Linked DNA regions of Tribolium castaneum. The protein of the gene in region 5 interacts with the protein of the main gene of each other region in a pairwise test. Links are inferred from orthologs where the notes say so. Each region holds a gene or a part of one and is shown on either strand. Other genes may lie near its edges.

The links.
Region 1: the proteins of htt (region 5) and Ars2 interact in binary tests that used the Homo sapiens proteins (3 or more experiments, as listed by UniProt). The link is inferred for Tribolium castaneum from reciprocal best matches to the Homo sapiens genes HTT and SRRT.
Region 2: the proteins of htt (region 5) and wcy interact in binary tests that used the Homo sapiens proteins (3 or more experiments, as listed by UniProt). The link is inferred for Tribolium castaneum from reciprocal best matches to the Homo sapiens genes HTT and WAC.
Region 3: the proteins of htt (region 5) and DCTN2-p50 interact in binary tests that used the Homo sapiens proteins (3 or more experiments, as listed by UniProt). The link is inferred for Tribolium castaneum from reciprocal best matches to the Homo sapiens genes HTT and DCTN2.
Region 4: the proteins of htt (region 5) and betaCOP interact in binary tests that used the Homo sapiens proteins (3 or more experiments, as listed by UniProt). The link is inferred for Tribolium castaneum from reciprocal best matches to the Homo sapiens genes HTT and COPB1.
Region 6: the proteins of htt (region 5) and zinc finger matrin-type protein 2 interact in binary tests that used the Homo sapiens proteins (3 or more experiments, as listed by UniProt). The link is inferred for Tribolium castaneum from reciprocal best matches to the Homo sapiens genes HTT and ZMAT2.
Region 7: the proteins of htt (region 5) and Hip14 interact in binary tests that used the Homo sapiens proteins (3 or more experiments, as listed by UniProt). The link is inferred for Tribolium castaneum from reciprocal best matches to the Homo sapiens genes HTT and ZDHHC17.

The regions. Positions count from the first base shown.
Region 1 is NC_087394.1:28,909,018-28,913,170, reverse strand, and holds the start of Ars2 (serrate RNA effector molecule homolog), read left to right. Parts: upstream 1-1,353; 5' UTR 1,354-1,505; intron 1,506-1,631; 5' UTR 1,632-1,634; coding exon 1,635-1,756; intron 1,757-1,803; coding exon 1,804-1,962; intron 1,963-2,312; coding exon 2,313-2,516; intron 2,517-3,325; coding exon 3,326-3,392; intron 3,393-3,444; coding exon 3,445-3,607; intron 3,608-4,153. Other genes in the region: E3 SUMO-protein ligase RanBP2, read right to left, coding at 960-1,034. UniProt on the Homo sapiens protein: Acts as a mediator between the cap-binding complex (CBC) and the primary microRNAs (miRNAs) processing machinery during cell proliferation.
Region 2 is NC_087394.1:31,185,275-31,189,317, reverse strand, and holds the start of wcy (WW domain-containing adapter protein with coiled-coil homolog), read right to left. Parts: upstream 2,801-4,043; 5' UTR 2,613-2,800; coding exon 2,572-2,612; intron 2,450-2,571; coding exon 2,416-2,449; intron 1,970-2,415; coding exon 1,750-1,969; intron 1,693-1,749; coding exon 1,535-1,692; intron 425-1,534; coding exon 223-424; intron 161-222; coding exon 1-160. Other genes in the region: uncharacterized protein LOC103312319, read left to right, coding at 3,445-3,524, 4,025-4,043.
Region 3 is NC_087395.1:3,607,076-3,610,575, reverse strand, and holds part of DCTN2-p50 (dynactin subunit 2), read left to right. Parts: intron 1-1,343; coding exon 1,344-1,740; intron 1,741-3,500. UniProt on the Homo sapiens protein: Part of the dynactin complex that activates the molecular motor dynein for ultra-processive transport along microtubules. In the dynactin soulder domain, binds the ACTR1A filament and acts as a molecular ruler to determine the length.
Region 4 is NC_087397.1:6,603,324-6,605,779, forward strand, and holds the end of betaCOP (coatomer subunit beta), read left to right. Parts: intron 1-224; coding exon 225-499; intron 500-550; coding exon 551-1,754; intron 1,755-1,799; coding exon 1,800-1,874; 3' UTR 1,875-1,956; downstream 1,957-2,456. UniProt on the Homo sapiens protein: The coatomer is a cytosolic protein complex that binds to dilysine motifs and reversibly associates with Golgi non-clathrin-coated vesicles, which further mediate biosynthetic protein transport from the ER, via the Golgi up to the trans Golgi network.
Region 5 is NC_087395.1:14,785,363-14,789,618, forward strand, and holds the start of htt (huntingtin), read left to right. Parts: upstream 1-1,456; 5' UTR 1,457-1,608; coding exon 1,609-1,691; intron 1,692-1,737; coding exon 1,738-1,921; intron 1,922-1,969; coding exon 1,970-2,248; intron 2,249-2,297; coding exon 2,298-2,439; intron 2,440-2,491; coding exon 2,492-2,631; intron 2,632-2,677; coding exon 2,678-3,226; intron 3,227-3,274; coding exon 3,275-3,703; intron 3,704-3,748; coding exon 3,749-4,065; intron 4,066-4,256. Other genes in the region: hexosaminidase D, read right to left, coding at 1-485, 532-1,030.
Region 6 is NC_087395.1:20,717,014-20,719,737, forward strand, and holds zinc finger matrin-type protein 2, read left to right. Parts: upstream 1-1,350; 5' UTR 1,351-1,467; coding exon 1,468-2,067; 3' UTR 2,068-2,116; coding exon of another isoform or gene 2,117-2,182; 3' UTR 2,183-2,224; downstream 2,225-2,724. Other genes in the region: uncharacterized protein LOC656218, read right to left, coding at 2,117-2,182, 2,230-2,422. UniProt on the Homo sapiens protein: Involved in pre-mRNA splicing as a component of the spliceosome.
Region 7 is NC_087402.1:12,430,481-12,434,508, reverse strand, and holds the start of Hip14 (palmitoyltransferase Hip14), read left to right. Parts: upstream 1-1,228; 5' UTR 1,229-1,423; coding exon 1,424-1,573; intron 1,574-1,624; coding exon 1,625-2,164; intron 2,165-2,214; coding exon 2,215-2,382; intron 2,383-4,028. Other genes in the region: uncharacterized protein LOC135267174, read right to left, coding at 1-667, 718-911, 964-964. UniProt on the Homo sapiens protein: Palmitoyltransferase that catalyzes the addition of palmitate onto various protein substrates and is involved in a variety of cellular processes.

The DNA.
Region 1 (4,153 bases), on a different chromosome or scaffold from region 5:
TGTTTTAGAAATTTATTTGTTCAGTATAAACACTTTTCATGGTGTTACCTTCGAATTTTGTACTGATTTTTTTGTCAAATGTTCACCGTTCATAGCTTTAGGAATGGGCACTACGTACCATTAGTATTTGATTTGTTACTAAATAAAACTAAAAAATAATATGCAACTTTGTTAAAAGATGTTCATATATAATTTATCTCTTAATTCTAGAAAAATTGTTATTGATTTTGAGTTAGGTATTCATAAAGCTTGTGAAATAACATGTCCAAATGCAAAAATTATGGATTGTAGCTCAAAGCTGTTTAAAAAAAATCCAGACATTACACTTAGTTAAAGAATACAGAGACAAATTCTGTAATAAGTAACGGCGAGTTTTTACATACATACACAATTACACATACAAATTTAAAGTTAAAAATGAAATGTTGGAGCACTTGGAGCTATCATTAACTACAAAAAAAAATTGTGTACTAGCTGTTAGCTGTTCACTGACTCTTGAACCCTCAAGCCGCCACGGTGTAAGAGGTGTAACAAAATTAATAATAATTACAAAATATAATAATTAATAACTGTGTTAATGAGTATTTCAAATGATAGAAGGGTTTAGCCAATTTATTGATTAGGCATGACCTTGCCGGCTCAGCTGGATAACAAAAAAGGCCAACGATTCGCCAACACTGCCAAAAATCTTGGCAAATTGGACCTAACACGAAGCGTAATTTAAGAATTTTTATAATCTAAAAATAATTTCCCGCCAAAGGTTCCCTGCATGTGACATTGATGCGTGAGACATTCTTCCAATAATAAATGATACGCAATTTTTAAAATTAGGACAGGTGGAATCGATAAGGGTGATGGTTTTTTGGGCCCTTTCTGATAAGCAAACGCGTTTTCAAAACGCGAAAAAATGAGAAATTCTCGACCGGCGTAACGGAATGACAGCGATTTCAAAACCTTACCTCTGTCTCGTTATTTATCTTCTTCAAGCATTCTTCAACGTGTTTATCGACATCGGCTTTCCTTGTGGGAAACATTTTGAAAAGCGTCCACTCAAACGTACATTTAAACGAGCAATTTCACAAATTTTAGAAAACGTTTATAAAACCGTTACAACATGAGATTTCACAACGCACGAACGGACGTCCACCATCTTACAACTGACGTCAGTAATCAAAGCTAGGGATTTTGCTTTTTTGGAGGGACCGGTATCCAAATAAAAAAATTAAAAATGCAAATTACGGGCTGTTGTAGCTGTTCTTACAGCTTATCAACTCAGTTACATGACTGTAGTAATTGAAACAAAAATAAATAATCCCACAATGAGCAGTTTTTTGCGTTTAAATGTTGCGATAATGCGGCGTCACCAGTCATACCACCATAGGTTGGTGGCTGCAAAACCCCCACGGCGTCTTTGACGTGTCGGCCATAATTTTGTATCAACTTCCTCAAGAGAAATCCGAATTTTCGCCGGAAAATCGCCAAAAGTATTATTTTTAGAACAGAAAGTGAGTCTTCTATCGAACCCACCTAGACCAGTAACCCACCACCCGCAGTTAGCACCCCCTCATTTTGACTACTTACACCCTCATGGTGCTCAGTGCTAGTGCTCACTTTTCCCGACTTAATTGCAGGAAATGGCTGATAGTGACGATGAATACGACCGCAAACGCCGCGATAAGTTCAGAGGTGAACGCGCCGAAGCCACTTACAGGGGGGCCGAACGGGTTGCCAGACCTAGGGACGACTGGGCCGAACGGTAAGAGTCAATACGAGGCTTATTCGGTCCTAGTGTTGAAATTATAGTGACTCTTGGTCACGACCTAGGCCTCGGGAGTACCGCCCGGGGGTGAGAGACAGGGGATACTCGCCGAGTCTGGACCCAGCCCCCAAGAGGCTGCGCCACGATTACTATGCTGATAGCTACTACAACCATTACTCGCCCTATCACCAAAGCTCGCACAGGTAGTTGCTGGTTTTTGCTAAAATGCATGGAAAAAATGGTGCACCAGCGTTCAAGGTTTATTAAAAAAATTATGATGCTCGTAATTAAAAACTGCTTTAGCTGTTTACATAATATCAGTTAAGAAATCTAGAATAGGGAATTGCTAATGACTTTTGCCCCATTGTGTGTTTTATTTTATCGCCTTGCATGGTTTGCATTTTTATAGAAAATACCGTTCATTGTTTCCTCAAACTGTATCTGAATGTTTATCGTAATTAGTCGCATGTTTTAATTGTTATTTTAGATTTCGTTTTGTTTCGGTTTTAATTTAAAATAACAGTTACTAACGCGTGATCTTCTATTTTCAAAGAGCTGGTAATTTCTTCAGAGAACCTCCGCCATCGTCTCAGTCTGAGGGTCAGCAGCCGCCAATGATGTCCTTTAAGGCGTTTCTGGCCACCCAGGACGATAACATTTCCGATAGTGAAGCTATCGAAAAATACAATGACTACAAATTGGAGTTCCAGCGACAGCAACTTAACGAATTTTTTGTTGCCCATAAAGACGACGAATGGTGTGTATTACTAGCTTATTACCGAATTGCAAAAAAGTAAATTGAGGGAAAATATTGCCAGGGCTTCAAATCGAAGGTGTATGTAGCACTTTGTTTTTCTCTTTGTTGTGTCAAGTAACAATGGGCTGTTACGTCCACCTTCACTAGAGATTTTCTTTCAGACGTAATTGATAGGTTTAATTGTAAATGCTAAGGTTAATATAATTTTAAACTATTTTTCCCCAACATGTTACTTTAAAAAGCCTTTTTCTCTACAGCACTGATTCGAGACTTCCTGACATCTTCGTAAAATATAATTATGTGTTTTGTGTGTGAAAACATGTGAATACACTACGTTAAAAGTATTATTGAATTGAATATAGATATGAGATGTGGAATTTCTTTAAACCGTTGATAAAGCTATGCGCGCAATGCATATGCTTTCGCGTACTTTGTTAGGGTTTATATTAACAGGTGAGATTTCACGACGAAGAAACATTATCAATTTATTATATGTACATGTATGTTACGTGTGAGTGTTTAAATCAGACGAAGATAATAATTAACGTTACCAGCATTAACACTTTTATTATGTTCGTCTCGGAATGCATGCGATTACATTGCTCTCATTTCATTACATCTTCATTTCTTGTTTTTCGCTGTTATAATTGTCAACAATTTTTCACCCACCACTTGACAATTATAGCACATTTTACCGATAATTACTTTATTCATAACGCATTGAATGAATTGATCGCGTGAATGGTTTTTTAATTTGTCTGTCTTCGTTTTTGTGTTGTTTTCTTATTTTCCCTCTTGTCTTTCTGAAGGTTCCGTTTGAAGTACCATCCTGAAGATTCAGTAAAACGAAAAGAAGAACAAATGGCAGCATTGAAGGTAGAATTGGCATTTTTGCATCTCATTTTCGCTTACTTTAATTTTTCTTCAGAAAAGAGTCGAGGTTTTCTTGGACTTGATGAACAACGGAAAACTTGCGGTTTCAGTTGATTGTTCAAAAACGAATGACTTACTTAAACTGTTAGATACTGTCGTTATTAAACTCGAAGGTGGCACTGAGGAAGACTTGGCCGTTTTGGAGCAGGAGTATGCCGGTAAGTCAAAAAAATTCATTTTAATAGTTCGATATAATTTTTTAAATCATATTTTATTACTACCTGACACAAATAGTAAACTTTTCCAGTAACAATTAAGTTCTCAAACCAATTTCAAACAATTTTATCTGAAAAACATTTTAATTATTACTTAAACCCTCATAAATTATATCTACAAAAAGTTTCAAGATCTGAACGAAATCAAACAAAATATACACGAGAAAATGTGAGAAATATTATTTTACTGTATGAGCTTTAACAACTGAATGTTCGGGCAAACATTGTTTTTGTTGCTGACTTTTACAGGTTTCATATCACTATTTTATTTTTCAACTTGATTTTAGAACGAAATCTTAAACTGTCTGAATTGACTTTTTGAAGTTTGAAATCATAATATACATTAATATTTACTGAACCATTTTTTAATTTTATTCACAGTGACATATCTATCCCATTGTTGGAATAAACCTCTTATGATAATAAACTATTTTGTAATTTTTTTGGTATTTTTCTGCGTTTACTGTACTCTGAAGAAATTAATAATTA
Region 2 (4,043 bases), on a different chromosome or scaffold from region 5:
TCTGGATGCTTTCTCGATCTGCCATCTTTGACGGGAACGTCGCTGTCGTCTCGGCTGCTACTACTGCTCCAGTGCCGACTTCCCGTCGCGCTATCTCTCGTTCCTTCCTTCGTACTGCTACTGCTGTTCGGTGCTCGCGAGTTGGAATGTTTCTCATGCCCTGTTTACAATTTGTGCGATATTAATTTTGATGCAAACTAAACTCCGGTGCTAACTACTTACGCGTGCCGGAGCGGCTGTAACAACGATCCGAGTCTCGTTCTCTGTCCCGTTCTCGACTCCTAAATCGGTCTCGTTCCATCCATTCCCTTGGTTTCTCCCATTGCGATACTTCGGTTTTGCAATTGTAATAATATTTTTTACCCGACGAACTTACATGCTCCGACCAATCACCTACTCTAGCAACCCTTTCCCGATCATCCCTCTGAAAGAAAACACATCCCCATAAAAAAATTATGTGCAAAACAGAACCACCAACTACTGGTATTATGTCTGTTACAAGTCCCAAAAAAACTTTATTTTCAACTGCCACATTGACAGGTAGGTAACAATGGTAACAAAAGCCTCAATTATCACCTATTAGCGGTTTCAAAATTTTGAAAAAAAATGCGAAGGCGTTTTTATAGTTTTGAAACCGCTAATAAATAAAAAAAAAATAATTATATGGACAGTCCAGATTTGAAGATATTCATTCAACTTCAAAGACTGAATTTTTGGGTGTCTAATACATTTCAGTATGCAGATAATCCATTTAGTTATGCAAACAAATCATATCTTACAATTTTATAAAAAAAATCATCAAAATGTAAGATTTAAAAATACTAATATTAAAAAAAATAATTCGGAGTTTCAGCACAGTTTTTAAGTTATTACACGTAGTGGAATATACAATGAAAAATGTATCTCTTTGAAGTATTTGTACGGCATTGGCTAGGAGTGGTACATTAATAAAAAAAAATGGTTTAATGAATTACATTTACAATGGAAATTATTTTTAAGGATAATAATAAAATCGAATTCATTTTAATTGACATAAAGATAGTGTGTACAGTCCTTTAAAGCTAAATTTCTAAATTTCCATGACCACAAAATATTTTTTATGTTTAATAAAGTTTCGAGTTTCGAAAAAAGGGGGGCAGTTATTTTTAAAAATACTTTCAGTATAAATTCAAACATACTCTTCTAAAAAAAAGAAAGATAAAGGTCGACGAAGCTATAATAGAAAAAATAAGGAAAAAAACAAGTTATTTGATCAAAGACAAGAACAAACACTAAATAGGCCAAACCTTAACGTTTATGTAGGTATTTGAACAAGAAAATAAACAGTTTTACAGGTCTTTGTCTAGTTGAACTTTAACAAATGTATTTTTTGTGCGAGTGGACTAAGAATTTAAATACATGACAATTTTATGACTTACTTAAAGTCCATTTCTCAGCTACTACTTAAATTATTAGTTGTGTTGAACTGATTGATTTTTTTGTGGTCATTTAATCACAACGTGTGCAAATAGCTGTGGCTTCGTCCCCTGCTTACCTTATCCACAGAATTATTGTGTACTGGTTTCCTGTCCCTCGAAGACAGGTTCTGGGACATTTTTATTGGATGTAAAATGCTCTTCTCGTCGTTTCTGTCATTGTTGGTCCTGTGCTCAGATTCTCTGCTGCGCTTATCCTTTGGCGATCGGGCACAATCTAAAATGACCAACAGAAATAAACAATTTAACAATTCTGTCAGTAACAAAAGGGTACCTGAATACTTGTCTCTTGACATTTTATAGTCTCTATTTTCTCTCTCCTTTTCACGTATTTTCTGTAGGTAGGAGCTCTTTGATTGATAAGATCGATCACGGTCTCTGGGAGATTGAGAATCTGGGCTGTCCGACCGATAATTACCATTTGGAGAATCCCGAATTCTCTCGTACCTTTCACTAGTGGATCCATAACTCTTCGATGAACTATACTTCGAGTTCTGGCAAGAGTTGGAAAGAAAACACAATTTTAGACGATTTTCCCGCTTTGTAAGCTCGCAACTACACAATTCAAGCGAAAAACGCAAATATAAATAAACTGCGGCAAGTAGGTTAGGTTGTATCTGCAGAAGGTAGCCATGTTTACTATTGTTTTGACGAACATTTTTCCGCCGAATTTTCTTTCTAGCCGCTTTACTGGCCCCAAAACTTGCGTAAAAGCCATCAAAATCTCCAAAATGATGCCCGAACTAACCCAAAAAAAGCCATTTCAACAATTTTGTCTTGAAACTAATTGGGCATAGCCAACTATGGTCATTGTTAGGAACGGTTTAATTTTGCTTGTGATAAGGCAAAGTATTAATAAATTGTTTTGACATTGATTTCGTATTATTATAAACAAACAAAAATCGGTTCAGTTTCGTTAAATTGGAAGGTTTATGTTTACCTGATAGGGATGGGCTTGGTGCTTCTCGAAGTACCTAGACATGGAAACAGAACGCATTAGTAGTGAAACAGGTCCTTGAAGGCATTAAAGCAACCTGGGAACCCCAAAGTTCCTTTAATGCCTCTGAGGTTGTGTCAATAAGACACTGGTGCCTACCCATCGCTCATCCGTTGAGGTTTCCTTGCATGCATTACCATCAATGCAAGTCTCTATAAAATGTTTGTGGCTTTCACAGCAAGCCGATTTGGATGAAAAGGTCATAAAAACAATAAAAACGTTTGAAACCGATCAAGAACTGACTTTCCTACCAGACGCCATGTCACATAAGGGAACAATTTGCAGCTGAAGGTAAATGCTCCTAATTTCTTCCGTTGTCTCATTGGTTGACGTAAGAAAACGTCCCGTCTACCAACATTGCAAACGCTTACACACTAGCGCTTTGTATATTTTTTCAAATTCTTTCGCACGTTTCTCACAACTATTGCAAATAAATGCACGACAATGAACACCCAGCACTTTCTTTACGTAACCGTGTTGTTAAAAAATATTTTCTGCCCTATTCAAAAACACAAACTTTAGGCAATTTTTAGAGATGTTGGGCGCCATGTTGGCAGCGTTGAAATCCCTGATCATCACCGATATCAAAAGAAAAAAATTACAATAATGGTGTAAAATAATACAATTTGTTTAAAGTAAACATCAGGTTTTTGTATCCTTTTTGCAATTTTGTTGTTAATTTTGGAATTTCGTTCGGGACGTATTCAGAAAAACCCTTTTGCTTCACAATGGAAATGGAGTTTGGCCTCAAATAGTGCGAGCATGTTGTGAAAACATTTCTCTACTTCCAAGACTCAGTAATTCTGGGTTATCGCAGTAATTTAATCGTATTTCTCGTAATATGACTGCTAATGTTGCACCAATTACTCGTAACAACAGTGCTTCTCGTCAGTATCTTCTGAAGGTGTTACATACTTAAAATCTTAAATTTTGATTATAAACAACTTTTTTTTAGATTAACTAGTAACAGCGATGTTGGCAAGTCTTCTGGGCGGTCAGTATGATTCATATCAAGCAGATTCTTCCCACAGACTGGTTAATTCAGTCAGAAGGTATTTAACCTAATTAAATCCACAGTCTTTTGCACTGAAGAAAGGAACACAAACTGAAGATTTTGTGAAACTTTCAACTGTTTTTCTTTTGTTTTTCAATATTCTTTTTAATAAGTAACAATTTCATAGTCATTTTTTTAAATTTTTTAATGCATGTGTAATATTGTTGAGAAGTCATACCAAGAAGAAAGAAGTCTCCAAGAAGATTAGTTAAACACGTAGTAGTTTTTTATTGCTTAGTAGTTATTAAAATATAGTATTTTTGTTTTTAAAACTTAAAAAGTAGTATAATGCATCTCCTCTGGGACAAGAAGCTGCAATTTCCACCGTCTTCCAAGAAGAAAGAAGTCTAACTTCAGTTTAAGTAAAATGTAGAAACTAAGTAACATGTGACTGCCTTTTCTAGTCATTTACAAGTGTAAATTATTTGTTAATAAGTGCAATTCAATTTTCGTATACATGTTACATCCTTGCTGCCATTTTAAAACCAAGTTTTGTAGTTACATAAACGCAAAATTG
Region 3 (3,500 bases), about 11 Mb from region 5:
TAGCTCATTTAAAAGAAAGAGGAAGCCTAGATCTTTCCTTTGGTGTTTTCAAATTTCTAAAAAATAATAAACCCCCAAATGTTTCAAATTAAGTTTTCAGAACTTCAAACACCCATAACTCGATTTTTTCAAATGAAATGCCACAAGTTTTATTTCATTAAATGGTAGAGAATTTAATTCTGCATTTATCTATTAATATTCTCTATACTTATGTTTAATAGTTTTTAAGTTACAATAACTTTTTGTTGGAATTGGGAAATTCATTAGCCATACTGTGTAATGGAAACGACAGAAAAACTTAGAAATTAAGTTTTTCAAACCAACATTCAATGAATTTATTTTGTTTGCAGAGGAATGATAGCACAATTTTGAACTGAATTTGTTGTTGGTTTAATCAGAAATGTTTCTTAGGCGAACTATGCAAAAATAGCTATGGTTAGTATGGAATTTCCTAACAATGTCAAAAAACCAAAATAACTTGAAAATTATCAAGGATAGGTTTAAGGAATGCTAATACAGATAGATGCAGAAAACAATTCTTCTCTATCTAGTAAAATAAAAATTAGGACATCTTATTTGAAAAAAATAATTTATGGGTACTTGAAGTTGTCCAAACTTAACCTTAAAATTTTTGGTTTTATTAACTTTTTTCCAATTTTGAACACACTAGAGAACATATATGGGCTTTCTCTTTTAATTCTCCAAATATGATTTCGAAGTTTTTAAAATTAAAAAAGTTACCGATTTTTCAAGTGATAGGTGCAAATCCAAAAATTTAAAAAAAATCCAAAATATCTCAAAAACGGTTAAACTTAGGTATAGTGAAAGCTGATAACAACATAGTTTTCTATTAAAGATAAGAAAGTTGATAGCGACTTCCGCTAAAACCGGAAGTGTCGCCATGTTAAAAATATTCTCATTTAACAGAACTTAACGGATTATGGCTGAGTACCAACTTTCAGATACATATCTATTAGAAATATCTATTACTATATCTATTACTTCTGATGTGGGGTTTAGACGGAACAGCCTGTATGTAACTTTATTTCTAGTGAAGAACGTGCAGAATATTCGAAAAATTTAAAAAAATAACGTAATCTTGTACCTAATTTATTATTTGCACATTACATTGCCACTGATATCACTACATGACGATTGCAATAACAGAAGCTTTTATGTACGGGTAATTATATGTGTTTTTTAAGAAAATAATTTCAAAATGTGTTAATTCTTTCATTTGTCAAGATACTATATTTTTGAACAAATTTTCTGGTGAAATTTCGTCTGAATTTTGACTCTTAATATTGCCAACTTACTTTCAAAATAATAGTTTTTTTTTTCAGAAAATTGTTGTCACAACTGGAGCAGTTCAAAGCCAGTGCTCGTGAAAAAACCGAATCTCAAGCCGAAAGTGACGGTTCCGGTATTGTTTACCAGTTAAACTATCGACCGGAACAAGCGCGTCTAGCTCAAACGACTCGAGTGGCTGAACTTGAGGGACGTTTGCATCGTTTGGAGTCAATTATGGGATCTTCTAACGATAAATTGACTCGATTGGCATCCGCAACTAATAAAGGAACTTTATTGGAGACAGCACAGCATTTAAGCGCCACAGCTAGTTTACTTGATTCGGCACAATTGGATCATATTGAGGGACGCTTGTCTTGTTTGCAGCAAAAATTGGATGCTATAGCTGAGAAAAAGAAGGAAATTGCACAAGATGAAGAAAAAGATAAAATGGTGAGTACATGTTTATTTTTGTGTTTGAACTGGAGTTACTTGCGCTCTCAGTGAATATTTTTTTTTTTTGGGACAAATATCAAAAAATAACAAAGTCATAATTTGGCAAGCATCATTTTCCACTTGAACAATTTGTTTGCGAATAGAAAAAATAAAAATACTTTTTTAATACCGGGTGTTTTAGATTGGTATTGGCATTAAAGCGTTTTCTCTTTCAGCTTTTGCTTCAGTCTATTATTTTTATAATTGTTCACAACATTTTGTATTTTTTATCAAATTTTTTAACAATCCTTATCACTTACATACTTCTTTCTTGTTTTACTCTTGTGTTTTGTCATAATTTGTTCATTCTTGTTATTTAGTACCTGTTTTGTCCTCATCTTAATTTTTTCTTCAGTTTTTTTATTTCGCATAGCTTTTTAAGTTATTTCTGTATTTTTTTCGTTTTTTTTTCATTTCAGCATAAAATCGAGGAAGAAGTTAATTTTGAATTAAATTTTCGAAAAATTTCAGGTGTGGAAAAATTAGAAATAAAATTAAAAACTAAAAGAATGATCTTTTGGATTTTAATTTCATTTCACCTAAAGACTGTTTTCAGTAGATGCAGTAAGTAGTCCGATTTTAAACTTTTTACAACCTTTTCGAAATATTCAATAAAAAATTACACTTACCTGAATTTAGACTAAAAAAACCTAGAAAATTTGTTAGAATAAGACAAATACATTGAAAGATACATTTGTAATTTAGAAATAATTTAGATAATTTAGAAACATGAAATGTCTTTATTTCAAGTTTAAATATTTTATTTTAAAGTTTAAAATACTACCGAATGTTTCGAATTTGCAACAGTTACTTTAAAAACATTATTATATCACTGAAAAATATTTGCTTTGAGCAAAAATTATGTAAAACACTTGATGCACAAAGTGCTCAAGTATTTTCCAAACAAAAATAACTATTTCTGTAGCAAAAAAAAATGTATAAAAATAAGTTTATTCATTGTGTAGCTCACTTTTCGAAGTAATAAAATTTTAAATTTACCATTAATTTGAGTTTTGCTGTGCAAATGGCAACTAAAATTTAATCGACAACTAAGAATTAATACAAGTTGAATAGGTTGCCATTTCCTTGGAAAAGGTGAAATTAATCGCATATTAGAATTTGATTACAATTAAATGTCAGCTACACAACGGTTTAGTGACAATTTTTTTACATAGCAACAAAACAACATTATTTCAAAATGTCATTAGAAATATCACTTATAAAAATTTATTTTTTCAGAGACTCAATATTAATTACTTAATTCTCATTATAAGGAATTGTAGAATTTTTTTTTAAAAAAATTACATGCTTTTAAGAGCAAACGCTGGTTTACAGTGAAAATATACTTTTAATAGAATGATCCTGTACAACATATTAATACAAAATATTTTTTGTAATTCTGCTAAAAATGCTTATTTACTTTCTGGCACTGGATTTTTCGTAAATAATCATTTACTGACAAAATATTGCGAAAAAATAGGCTATAAATGTGCTTTTCCAACTCCATTTCAATATCTATAGTATTTTTTTTATCTCTTAATGCAAAGCTGAATTACGAAAAAAATGACCTTATTTAAAATATCATTTTTTTTTGTAACATTATTGAGCGAATTAGATGTACTTCTCTATAGTTTTTTATCTGTTTATTTACTCTTTTTTTATGTATCGAACTTATTTCTACTCTCTAATGCTTCTTCTCCAGATTTTGGCTATTTATA
Region 4 (2,456 bases), on a different chromosome or scaffold from region 5:
TCGTTGCCCTTAGAATGTTAACGCAACGTCTCTTTAAAATTGAACTATTTTGCGTTTCTTGGTTTATGGGAGCAAAAACTATTGGTAAAACAATCCACAATCACGTAATAAGAAACCAATAATTTTAAATTTTAATCATTTATTAACATTATTACAAAAATTTATATATGTGAAAAAAAGATTCAATGATGCCCGAGTGTTTGTCTTAAAAAAATATTTTCCAGAAACTCCTCGAAGCTTTCCCCAACATAAAATCGGTGAAAATCCACCGAGCCGCCCTTTGGATTTTAGGCGAATACGCAACAACTGTGGCCGACATCCAGTCCGTACTTAAAGCCATCAACCAAACCCTAGGCGAGGGCCCCCTTCTGGAAGCGGAGCAACGTCTAGTGGCCGGAGATTCGGAAGAAGTCACCCAACCGAACCCAACACAAGCTTCCAGCACCCTCGTCACTTCTGACGGAACTTACGCCACCCAATCAGCCTTCAACACGGTTCAGTAAGTAGTCATTTGTCGAGAGAAAAGCCCGGTTTGTAAATCAAGCTTTAGGAAAAGCACAAAAGAGAAGCGGCCCCCACTTCGCCAGTATCTAATCGACGGCGATTTCTTTATCGGGGCTGCGATCGCCTCAACTTTGACCAAACTGGCTCTAAGGTACGGCAGTTCGGTTAAAAATGCGGTTGAAAGGAATCGGTTTGATGCCGAAGTTATGATGATCATGGCCGGGATTATTCACTTGGGGAAGTCGGGTTTGCCAACTAAGGCCATGACCAATGATGATAAGGACCACGTTTTATTCTGCTTGCGGGTGCTTTCGGACCGGCAGCCGAGCATTATCAAGGTTTTTACCGACTTGTGCCGACAGGCACTTAACGACATGTTAGTCGCCAAAGAAATTGAAGAAGCACTCAATCAGAAAGCGAAAGAAAAGGCTGGTAATGTCATACAAGCCGACGATCCGATCAATTTTATGCAATTACAAGCCGACAAGTCGGGCGAATTGGGTGAAAACGTCTTCGAAACGTCCTTGTCACAAGCCTTGGTTGGGGGCCGAGTCGGCGGCAGTGACACAAGCACTGGGGTTAACAAGCTGAACAAAGTGACTCAATTGACCGGCTTTTCAGACCCGGTGTATGCCGAAGCCTACGTCCATGTCAACCAGTATGATATTGTTTTGGACGTTTTGATAGTCAACCAGACCAACGATACGTTACAAAACTGCACCCTTGAGTTGGCAACTCTCGGCGATTTGAAACTCGTGGAAAAACCGCAGCCGGTGGTTCTGGCGCCCAAAGACTTCTGCAACATTAAGGCCAACGTGAAAGTGGCCTCGACCGAAAACGGGATTATTTTCGGGAACATAGTTTATGACGTCACGGGAGCAGCGTCCGACCGAAACGTGGTGGTCCTGGACGACATCCATATTGATATTATGGATTACATAGTCCCGGCCACTTGTAGCGACTCGGAGTTCAGGCAAATGTGGGCCGAGTTCGAGTGGGAGAATAAGGTTTCGGTTAATACGACCTTAACCGACCTTGCGGAATATTTGAAGCACTTGATCAAAAGCACCAACATGAAGTGTTTGACTCCGGAGAAGGCCCTGTCAGGGCAGTGCGGTTTCATGGCCGCCAATATGTACGCAAAATCAATCTTTGGAGAGGACGCTCTCGCTAATTTGAGTATTGAAAAACCGTTCAACAAACCTGATGCACCCGTTACTGGACATATCAGGATCAGGGCCAAGAGTCAGGTTGGTAGCACTGAGTGTGAATCACAGCTGAGTTTGTTGTTGCAGGGGATGGCTCTGAGTTTGGGTGACAAGATCAATATGACACAGAAGGGGCAACAGAGTAAAGTTATCGCTGCATAATTTGTATTTTATGGTCGTATTAATATTAATAAAGTTTATTTGAAAAAATGGCTTTGATTACGGAAAACTCGCTTTTTCTGAATCCAAAAAATAGAGTACTTATACCGTCTCAGCGCCAACTCTTTAAATTAATTTAAATTCAACCAATTCTGAGAAAAACTGTATTATTCTAAAATAAAGTCACTGTGAGAAAAACTAATGACTGAAATTTTCATAAGAAACGTGAGAAAAAAAAGAACATTTTCGCTTCGTGCCGTATTTTTCAAAACGCTACAAAATATTGGCAAAGTGCAAATTGGTAGAAGTTTTTTTTTTTAAATATAAATAACGATAAATTTTGCGTTATGTTTAATGCTTTATCATTTATAAAATTCATTGCTCAGAAAACAGACGATAATGAACGACTGCGCTCTCTGGCGGCACTAAGGAAACTATCAAGGACGGGACCGTTTTATTTGAACGTGGTTTCGTATCCTAACCTTTAGACCTCCGTAGTTTTGATGTAACGATATTTATTTGATTATAAATACAGTTTATTATTGGAAACGAAAATAAAATAAGATAAAAAGTACATCATGGACG
Region 5 (4,256 bases):
GTCCAGCATGCTCTGCTGGGACAGGTGGCGCAGCATGTCGTCCCAAATGATGAGCCGCAGGTGCGGGTGCCTCTCGTGGATTATTCTCGACACGTTCTGGACGTGTTTCAGGAAGAGAGTTTCTTGGAGTTCCAAGCGGCAGATTTCGCATTCGCCCATTTGGAACACTTCGTCACAGCCGATGTGTAAGTACTTGATTTTTGGGTGGAGGGACACCACTTGCTCCACCATTTCGCGGATGAAGTCGAGCGAGCTGTTCCTGCTGGGGCACAGGGCCTGGGGGCTCCCCGGGACTTCGCGGAGTTTCGCCAACTCAATGTGCTTCAGAGCGAACTCCATGTGGCCGAAAGTTTGGATCAGGGGGATGACTTCCAGTTGGGATTTCTCGGCCAAGTCCAGGATTTCGGCGATTTGGGCGGGAGTGTAGGCGTTTTTGGCCGAAATGTTTTTCAAGATGCCGGAATAAGGGAACATGTCTTCATATTCTAAAACAATTGACTTAGGGGCAAGTTTCGTTAGTGGGGCTACAACCTAGCAAGAGGCCCGTGGCCCCCATGTTGCGTATCAGGGGGAAAAACTTCTTCAAAAAACTGACTAGAGGTGGGGCCCCTTTCAAATCCAAGTGGACTATACGTTTTGGCGGAATGTATGGATTATTCGAGTTCAGGTTGACGTAGGGTATTCCTAGTTGCTGTTCTGTTTCTAACGCCTCAATGGACGGACGTCTCCGTGCAATATCGTCGCGACTTGGTTGTTCTAAGTCTGTAAAAGAACCTAAATTTGGCTCAACCGTCTCAACTTTAGCTGCACTGGGTCTTTGGTTACTTTCCACGAATTTAACATTACTTTGTATTAAGGACTCAGCGACTATCATGTGCGGGCCCCCGTTATCTTCCTTTAGGAGCGCTTTGTCACTCACTCGGGAAAATTGCAAGCCAAAAATTATTATCGAAAGCAATCCTATGGCTATCAACAGTGCCGATTTTTTCCGCCAAGCTGTTAGGCCCAAATGTTGCACATAACTATTCATTTTTTTCACATTTCCATTCAAACTCTCCAAATAACACCAGCTTGTCCCATCAGAAGTCGGAGGAAAGATTTATGCTAGCATTCTTCATGGGAAATGGAAAAGTGTTTTTCCTACATTGTAATATCTATGGGTTAATTACGGCTTATCACATGGTCGACTGGGGCTATTCGCGGAAACACATTGTTTATTTTTCCGAAAGATTTTAATTATTTATTTCCACAAAAACTATTGACAGTTCGACGAAATTTTTTGACATTTGGCGTACCACCCCAAAGAAAAAAAGCAGCGGATCATTTAAATTTCTTCTAAATAAACACAAACACACAAACGCTGTGACTTTACCACAAAATCGGCCGGTTTTAAAGATATTGTTGCAAACTGAATGCCACAATTATTAAAATTTGGACAATTCTTGGCAAAATAAAATTTGACATTTGTTTTGACAGTCGACTTGACTTTCCCGTATGTTTTTCGTGTGATGTGTCTAAAAAATGTTAAAATAAACAATGCGTTTAAAACTGGTGGACAGCAGCTAACAGCCGATTAAAACCGTCTTAAATCACCCCCTTTAGCTAAAAATGGCCACCCAGGAAAAACTGCTAAAATCGCTGGAAGTCCTCAAGACCCTCTCGGCACCTAACCAAACATTTGACTCCTCAAAGTAAGCCAATTGGCCAATTAACGCCACTTAACCATCCAAATTGTAGAAAAAAGGACAAGATCCAGCACTGTCACATCGTCACGGAGGCAATTTCCAATTCAACGATCAAAATCGCCCCCAGTTTCCCCACCTACCTCAGCATAACGATCGAGGTGCTTTTGCAGTTATGCGACGACCAGGAGTCCGACGTGCGGATGACAGCGGGGGACTGTCTCAATAAAGTGATCAGAGTAATGAGCTGCGAGTTTGTGGCGTGTTTTTGAGTTGAGCGGTTCCAGGCCATGAACGATGGGAACATTGGTAAAGTACAAATTGAACTACATAAAGGGATCAAGCAAAACGGTTCAGCTCGATCACTACGGGCCGCCTTGAAGCGGTTTTCGCAGCTGGCACACTTGATACGGCCCCATAAGGGCAAGCCGTACGTGGTTAACCTTTTCCCCACCTTGATTAAGGTCTCGCAGCGGCCTGAGGAGCAGATTCATGAGACTTTGGCCAATAGTTTGGCGCCGATAATGCGGGTTTTGGGGAGCTTTACGTCAGAGGTTGAGATAAAAGTAAAGCAGGGGCGCGTTGTGGCTTAGAATTATTAGTTTCGCGTTGTAGGATTTATTGAAAGGTTTCTTGAAAAACATCTCACACTCTTCGCCTGTTATCAGGCGGTCTGCGACCACTTGTGTGTTAAATGTGTGTCTGAACTGTAGAAAACCGTCTATTTTTATGGCATACGTAATTAATTATTTGTTAGGTGAGTCGTTCCGTTTCAGGTGTTCATTTGATTGTTGTTTGTGGATTTGTAGATTTGTTAATTCCAGTCAGTGATAATCAAAGTAGTTTTCTAATATTGGGAGTTTTGGCGTGTTTGAAGAATTTATTACAACACTTGAACGATAATCAAAACGGAGATAATGCTTCCTTATCCGTGGATAAATTGTTACAAGTAACTGTTTTTTTGTTGTTTGGCGCCTTGTAGCTAATTTTTACAGATTTACGAGTTGTGTCTCCACTATTTTTCTAATAAGGATCACAACGTTGTGAATGCAGCTTTAGAAACTTTGAATGTTTTACTCCAGAATTGTTCCCTTGAATTGAGGCAAATTTTATTGAGCGAAAGTGGCGTAGATAAAAGTAGGATTAGTTTACCAACTTCTTATTCAATGTCAGCACTGCGTTCCCCAAGTCAGTTAAGTGTTGCGACAAGTGCAGCAAATGACGATTTGTTTCTGGAGTCCGAACTTACCGACACTATAAGGTCGGATATAGAAAAATGGATAGATGAGTCGAAACTTTCAGTAATGAACGTACCTTGTGCCAAAACTAACGAACTAGAAAAGTCGTTGTCAAGTGAGAGTAAAAACTCCTCACTTGATGTGTCTTTGACACAGCTTGATAGTTTCGATTATAAGATTTCTGAATACGTAGGGAAAAGTCACAGTGTTGGTGATAATCTGGAACGACTCACGATAAGTGACGATTCCTCTGAAAAAAGCTACTCGTATATTGAGGATGACAAGAACTGTGAAACACATTTTCCAGTAAAACTCTTTTCCAACATCAAACAAGTTGATAATTTTTTATTGTAGGACGTTGCTATTGGTAGTTTTCTAGACACCGATATTTCGCTAGTTTATTGTGCGAGACTGATCACCAAATCGTTTCTTTTGTCAGGCCAGAAGGGCGTTTGTATTCCTGATAAATCAGTCCGAGTTTCCGTAAAATCCCTAGCTTTGACCTGTCTTGCCTCAATTGTGCGAATCTACCCAAAAATATTGCTCCTCTGTTTGGGTAAAAAATGCAAATCGAAAAATCACCTACCAATCGCCGACTTGATATTGTACGAAAACCACACCGACCCGCAACTGCGGGGCGTTTTTAGGACACTTTTATCCAATTTTATCACAGCTGTGTTGAGCGAAACTCACTCGAGTTACGACAAATGGATCGAGTCGAATTGTTGCGATGGGAATTTTGCCCGACTTCAGCTGGATTCTCTCGTGAAATTTATAATAAAAGTATAGCAATTTATGTAATTGTTCTTTGCTAAATTTTGGTTTAAGGGCCTTGAGGACGAATCGTCCGGTTGTGCGCGACAAACAATCATAAGTTTGGATGTTTGTTTGGAAAAAATCGCAGAATCGGTTAACAACATTCACGTTTTACCGATTTTGAATTGTCTGCCACTTTTAGCAACCAATCCGTACTGGCTTGTGAAAGTCGCTTTGTGTGAACTTGTTTCGAAGCTTCCCTACGTCACTATTTGCAATATCACTGGTTCTAGTGATTTCCAAAATCGGATAATTGACGATGTTTTGTTCAATTTTTTGCGAAATGATGACGCTCGGGTTAGGAGTGGCGCCGCTAGTGCCATTGTTTCGTAAGTATTTAGTACGGATGTCTAAAGGCTAGGATATGAAACGACGTACAAATAAAACGTCCCCGTTCTTTCTTTCGCCAGAGAGCCCAGTTGTTCCATTACCGTCTAAGTTTTCGGAGCAATGAATTTGAATAAATGGTTGTATTTGTATAACAATTAACACATAACAAACAAACAAAAACAGACAAATA
Region 6 (2,724 bases), about 5.9 Mb from region 5:
TACATTTTTAAAGTAGTTAATGATGTACTAATTAGTATTTTTTGTAAGGTACATAGTTTACGCACAAAACGCTTGATTTAATACTTTTGCTCAACGCTGCATGTAATATTGTATCAAATAGATTTTGATTACAATCTTTATAGTTTCGCCATAATCGGCTTTTTAAAATTGATATTTTTTTTAATATCACCTTAATCACTAAATATCACCTTGTTCCACTAAAATTTTTTGCAACTTTGCATTTTGCATAAATTGCAAATTTTAAAGTTAATGTCTTCCACCAATCTTTGCATTTGTTTTGGCATATTTTTGTAAAAAGAAGTATTTTTGCTAAGTATATTTTTTGCTAAGTGTGCAAAATACTGTTGTTGGTGGAACATAAAGGTGTTCGGGAACGTGCAAGCGCAAAGTGTAAAAGTCGTTTGTGGAATAGAGCCCACATCAGAATTTTCTGATAATGTAATAATAATAATATTACTCAAAAGTTGGCAACAATCGTATAATTCTATGTTAGCAGTTACGGTTTTAAATATTGAAAGAATTTTATCATATAATAGAAAATACACCTTGAACTTTATTTTAAAAAATTGGTTTATAATGTTTCACAGCAATTAATACTTGACCACATTCAAAATATCAAATGGTAGCGTAATTAATTGTCTAGACTAAGAGCGCCGGTTTACAAAACATTTTAATTGCAATTAAATTTTAATCGCGGTTAACTCGACATTTGTCAATGTATTTAATGCTACTTAATTTGAATTAGTTTAATTTTGAATTAAATTCAATTTGATTTTTTGTAATTTAAATTAATTTAATTTATTTGTACTCGACTAGAATATTAATTTTTGCTTCGACCATAAAACTTGGAACACTCTGTATAATTAGTTGCGTAGGCTGCCATTTGAATATTGTGTTGCCTACCCAAAATAATAATTTGTTAAAAATTTAAATTTTTTGAGTTATCCACTTTTTCTTTGGTATTTATAACTTATAACTAACTCATAACGTAGTGGTAGTTTGAACAGCCACAGACTGAAAAATTGCAAACGAAAGATTCTGTGAATTAGATTTTAAAAATTAATAAAAAAATTGAAATAAATAACTAATTGTCTTGATTACGGGATTTTTTTGATCTTTTCCCATCTTAAATTTTTAAACAGGTAACCCAGCTAACTTCGTTAGATGTAATAGCAGAGTCGAATAACCAAAAAATTAAAAAATCTATTAAGTATTCTATGAGTTTAATGAATTCAATTGTAATAATCTAATGATATATATAAACATCCTGAATGGCGCAAATTCGCAATTTATTAGAAAATGAACCTTTATTCTTATGAAGTTAGCAACATAACCTAACCTTGAAAATTTGACAGCTGTCAATGTGTACTGCAGTTTGTCAACACTGTTATTGTACTTGAGTTTTTATTAATTGATTGTGATCCTGCTAAAGAAAAATCATCAGAAATGACTATGCGACCAGACGACCACCGCCGAAAATGGGACAGGGACGAATACGAGAGGTTAGCCGAGGAGCGCAAGAGGGAAGAAATCGAGCGCCTCGAAGAAGAAACCAAGAAAAAGAAAGGCCCCCCGGTGAAACGTGAAATGCTAAAAACCCGAGAGTATAAAGTAGACCTGGATTCAAAGCTTGGCAAAAGCATTGTAATAAACAAAAACACACCAACATCACAATCGGGGGGCTACTACTGCAACGTCTGCGACTGTGTTGTTAAAGATTCAATCAACTTTTTGGATCACATCAATGGCAAAAAGCATCAACGAAACTTGGGAATGTCGATGCGGATCGAACGCAGCAGTCTGGACGCAGTTAAACGAAGGTTTGACCAAAACAAGCGGAAAATGGAGGAGAAGAAAAAAGATTACGATATGGCAGCTCGCATGCAGGAAATTGCCGAAGAAGAGGAAAAGCTACGCGAATACAGGAGGGAGAAAAGGAAAGAGAAGCGAAAAGCTGAGGAAATGTTGGAAGAAACATCTGAACAAGCAAGTGAGCTTGCTAGCATTATGGGATTTGCAGGTTTTGGATCGTCTAAAAAAAAGTAGCAAAATGTCTTTCAATACCTTTATTACAATAATTTAGATTTGTTGAAGTTTAAATAAAAATCAATATTATGCTAACTAGTAAGTGAAGTACAGTTGGAAGAATCATTGTGTCAGCCTGTAAAAAATAATTGTAAATGAAATAAATGTGAAGGAACAAGTTGCCTTATTTTCTTTTTTCATATATTCCTCAGGCATTGGGTCCTTGACTTTGGGCGTCTCCTTCACATTGTCACAGCTTATTGTGAGAATACTGTCAATTATCGACTGTAGAAGTTCTTTAGTTGTTGCTGCAGCGCTGTTTCCACACACTTTCGCAGTTTTGATGTAATAACAGTCAGCTATGTCTTTGTAAGCCCTGAAAACAATTAAATATTTGATCAAAGAAGCCCATGATGTTAAATAAGTTTCGTAACACTCAAAGGTAACATGTAAGTACTATTAAATTCAAATGTTAATTATATTTTATTAAGTTGCCGTTGCACCAAACTTGATTGCATATTTTCAACTTTTTAGCTCCAAAACTTGTTGAAGGCTTGAAAAAAGTAAAAACAATATTTTTGGCTAATTTGGCGATTTTTTCAAAGTTCGTAACGAACTTTTCGATGTAATCGCGTTAAAACGCAGTGGCGTGTGGTGTGAAAATATCTTTATTTTTTG
Region 7 (4,028 bases), on a different chromosome or scaffold from region 5:
ATTCTCTGAGCGCTGTCTTCTCGTGGGTCTTACCCCACTGCACAGCAGCAACCCTGTCAAGCGAATAGCCTTCCGCCAAATTTTTAAATAAAGAGGGTGGGAATCTTCGTCTACTGCAAGCAGATAGTACCATGCCAAACCTGCTGGCCGTTAAACGATGTTTCCTTGCTACATGCCAATTTTCGTTAACATGTTGGCCCCGAGTGCACGCCTCAACCAGTTTAATGCGTGCCTCATCTATTCTGCACTTCTCCAAAAGAAACTTTTGTTTGTCTATGGCCTGCACGTATTCTAAGCTTTGTAGAATTTCTTCGATATCTGCAATAATTTTTCTGGCTTCTTCACTTGCTTCTGGTCTTAGGAGCCAAGTGAAGCCCACCACATTCGTGACGCCTATTTCGGCACGGAACTGAATAATTTCGTCCTCAGTAGAGGACCTAGACAGTGCCGTATAGTTTGATAATTTCGGCTTGTAAACATCAGCTAACTTAATGACTTCTGTTTGTGGTGTTGTTTTTGATGGGGCACTCCACTGACACTCAATGTCAGTAGCACTTACATTATAATGAGCATAATATAATGCTGCAGCCATATGATGGCAAGCCACGTTGCCCCTTGGGCAGGTACAATGTGCCGTCTTAACCCCTTCTTCTAGGTCATATGAAATCTAAAACACACTTTGTAGAAGAAATGTCTAACAGTTAAATAAATACAAACCTCCACAGTATAATTTAGCTTTTTCATGCTCGGTAGAACTTCTGCAGAAATTCTCATCGGTTGTACTGTGCCATCAAACCTAAATTTGGTGACGTGACCGCTGGTAAAAGCATTTTCTCCCCGAACTAAAAAGCGATTACCGTCCCCAAAAAATTTCGCAATAAAGTGAAACTTAACAATGTGCTTTTCTGCCACTAAAATGCATAAATATAATAGTTTCTCAAAGTATAATTAAAGCTTACTCACTTTCTCACCGACAACGTGGTTCCCTGTATTCTTTTATAAAGTTCGTATTTTCACAAAAAGTCACTTCTAAATTAAATTAAAGTCTCTAGTGGCACAAATTACACCCGCTGCAGCTATTTGACACGTTATTAACGCACAAACACAACCAAAAAACCGAAAAACGTATTACACCACATGTAAAAGACTGGTTGTTTAGCTTTGAGCAACTGACCTACCGTAATAAGAGTGGGGAGGTGACGTCACGACTGATAGCGCGTAATATTGTACTCAAATATTGCTAAAATGTGTAAATGATCATTCTAATTAACGGAGAGCTATTCGTCTCGTCACGAATTATCGATTTCCGCCAGTCCGAAACCTTAAGAGTTCCTATATTGAAACCTAACCTCCATTTGCATTAATGTTTGTGTCATTCTCCTGTCAAACTTAATGATCAAAAATTTAAAAAGATCTATTAAAAATGTACCAAAACGCTTGCGGGGCAGCTGCTGCGAGTGCCGGCGGTTGTGTTGGCACCGAACGTGATTGCCACAGTTTAATATCCAAAGAACCACCAGTCCCAGCAATCGAGCACGACTACAGCGGTTTCGACATCGTCAAAGCCACTCAAGTAAGTAGCCCCTTTGTATAAAACCTCACTTAACGGCCGAATAACTCCTAGTATGGTGCCTTTGGCCGCGTCAAAGAACTAGTCGAAGCCGGCTATAACGTCAACCAGCGAGACAGCGAAACAGTGACTTTGCTCCACTGGGCGGCTATCAACAACCGCAAAGACATTATTCGTTATTTTATCGAGAAGGGAGCTGAAGTGGACGCTGTGGGGGGCGAGTTAAATGCAACCCCCCTTCACTGGGCCACCCGCCAAGGCCACCTCGATGCCGTGGTGATTTTAATGAACGCTGGCACAGATCCGACGCTCAGAGACGCTGAGGGTTGTTCTTGCATACATTTAGCAGCGCAGTTTGGACACACGGCCCTTGTGGCGTATTTTATCGCAAGGGGGATTAGTCCCGATTTGGTGGATAGGGCCGGCATGACGCCTTTGATGTGGTCGTGTTGGAAAGTTTGTAGTTTGGATCCGACTAGATTGTTGTTGACGTTAGGGGCATCCCCGAATTTGACAGATCAGCAAGGGAATACAGCACTACATTGGGCGATTTTGGCTAGGAATACGTCGGCTATTTCAACGTTGATTGTTCAGGTGAGATGGGTTTGAGTATGCATTTGGGTTATGTTGAAAGGTTGCTTTAGGGACAAGCAAGTCTAAATGTACCTAATCATAGGGGAGATACACCACTGTCGATGTTACAAACACAGTTAGGGGCTATTTGGATAGGTTCCAAAGTTGCGGAACGGATTAAAGAAGCGATAAGTAGTGGGCATACAAGAAATATTTTTACGAAAATTACTAAAGATAAGGTAAGTAGTTTTTATTTATTTTCATCAAGTTGGTGTTTGCTCTCCTAGCTTTAAAATGTCCTTGTATGGTACGAATTCCTAAAGCACAGCCTTTTTGATGGATCCTTTTTACCGTCCTGGCGTCAAACATTTTTCGTTTTTTTTATTCGTTCAAATGTTTAGAAGTCACCCGGTATAATTCTCCACGTTTTGGAAATAAAACAGTAAATAAGCAAACATTAATAACAAAAAACAACGTAAATAAAATATTATTTAACGTAATATTGGGGCTTCCCAAAGACCATTGACCGCAAAAATGAAATAAATACAAACTGATCCAGAAATATTGAGTCTGTGGGCAACAGATTTGTGCTCGTAATTTGCAAAATTGGAACCAAATTCGATTTTTCTTGACAATTATTTGACGTACAACCCCACAAGAATGTTAAATTGTTGTTAACTGGAAGCGTACTTCATTGGTATCCTTAAAAATTTAAGTTCAGTGTTGCCAACAGACTCAGTATTTCTGGATCAGTCCATTCTTTCATGAACATTCTTTAAATTGTCTTATACAGGGTGATTTTTTAGGGCTTACATTAGAAACTTTTTAAGTTCTAATGTACCTATAGGTTTAAAAATTCTGAGTTTAAATAAATTATTTTCAAAATGGCAGAGCTTCCGAAATTACTAGAAATTGGCGCTATTTTAAAAATTTTGAAAAGTAACCACACATTTTTAGTGCATTTTTGAATTCATCTTCCTGAACTGCGTAAAATTTACTCAAGTTGTTGGTACTTATCTGTCACAGTTTTTGACATAATTATGTAAATTTTTATGTTGAAATTATCATTTCAATAGTTTATTTAAAATATCACAACCCTTTGGGATAAGTGGATAATTTTTTTTTATTGAATATTATTTTCAGAATTATCAACTATCAAAATTCAAGACTAGTACCGGGTGACTTTTAAAGATTGTATTTTTTTGTCGTCAGGCTGGTAACAAATTTGAAATCTTAATTTGGCATTTTTAACTATCAAATTTAAATGTCAACATTTCAAACTCAATTGTCATAGACTTCCGCCCGACGATCGCCGGCATGGCAGTCAGGTGAAACGGCTCCATATAACTAGCTAGCAGGGAGGCCAGTTATTCAGTGTTGCCAATAGATTATTTTGTTTCAATCTTCAAAAGTTTTCCGGTAGAATTTTATCACAATCGTTATCAAAAAACGGCTCTAACTCAGTTTTTTCAAATGAAACGACTTTACTTTCTTAACGGCATCGAAAGAACATCGATATTTGTAATGATATCAATACGTCCTATACCTAGCCGGTCAGTGTTTAATAAGAACTGTGTATTCATGACTAAAATTTTCATTGTTGTTTTAAATTGTTCAAATTGTCCGTTTCTGTCACAACGAAAGTAGTTCGATACTCTTGTTTTTGTACCCATAGGCGGGTACAAATTTCTATATGTTATTTGTTCCAAATTTTAAGTAAATTTGCGAAACTTTTATTGAAAAATTACAAATAGAAAAAATGCTTTATTTGTTAAGCTCTGTTACCTGTTAAAATTAACATACGTATTTCTGATACACCCAGTATTCTTCTCCAAATTTTAAGTGTCGTAATTTTTATTGAAAAATTACAAATAAAAATAATATA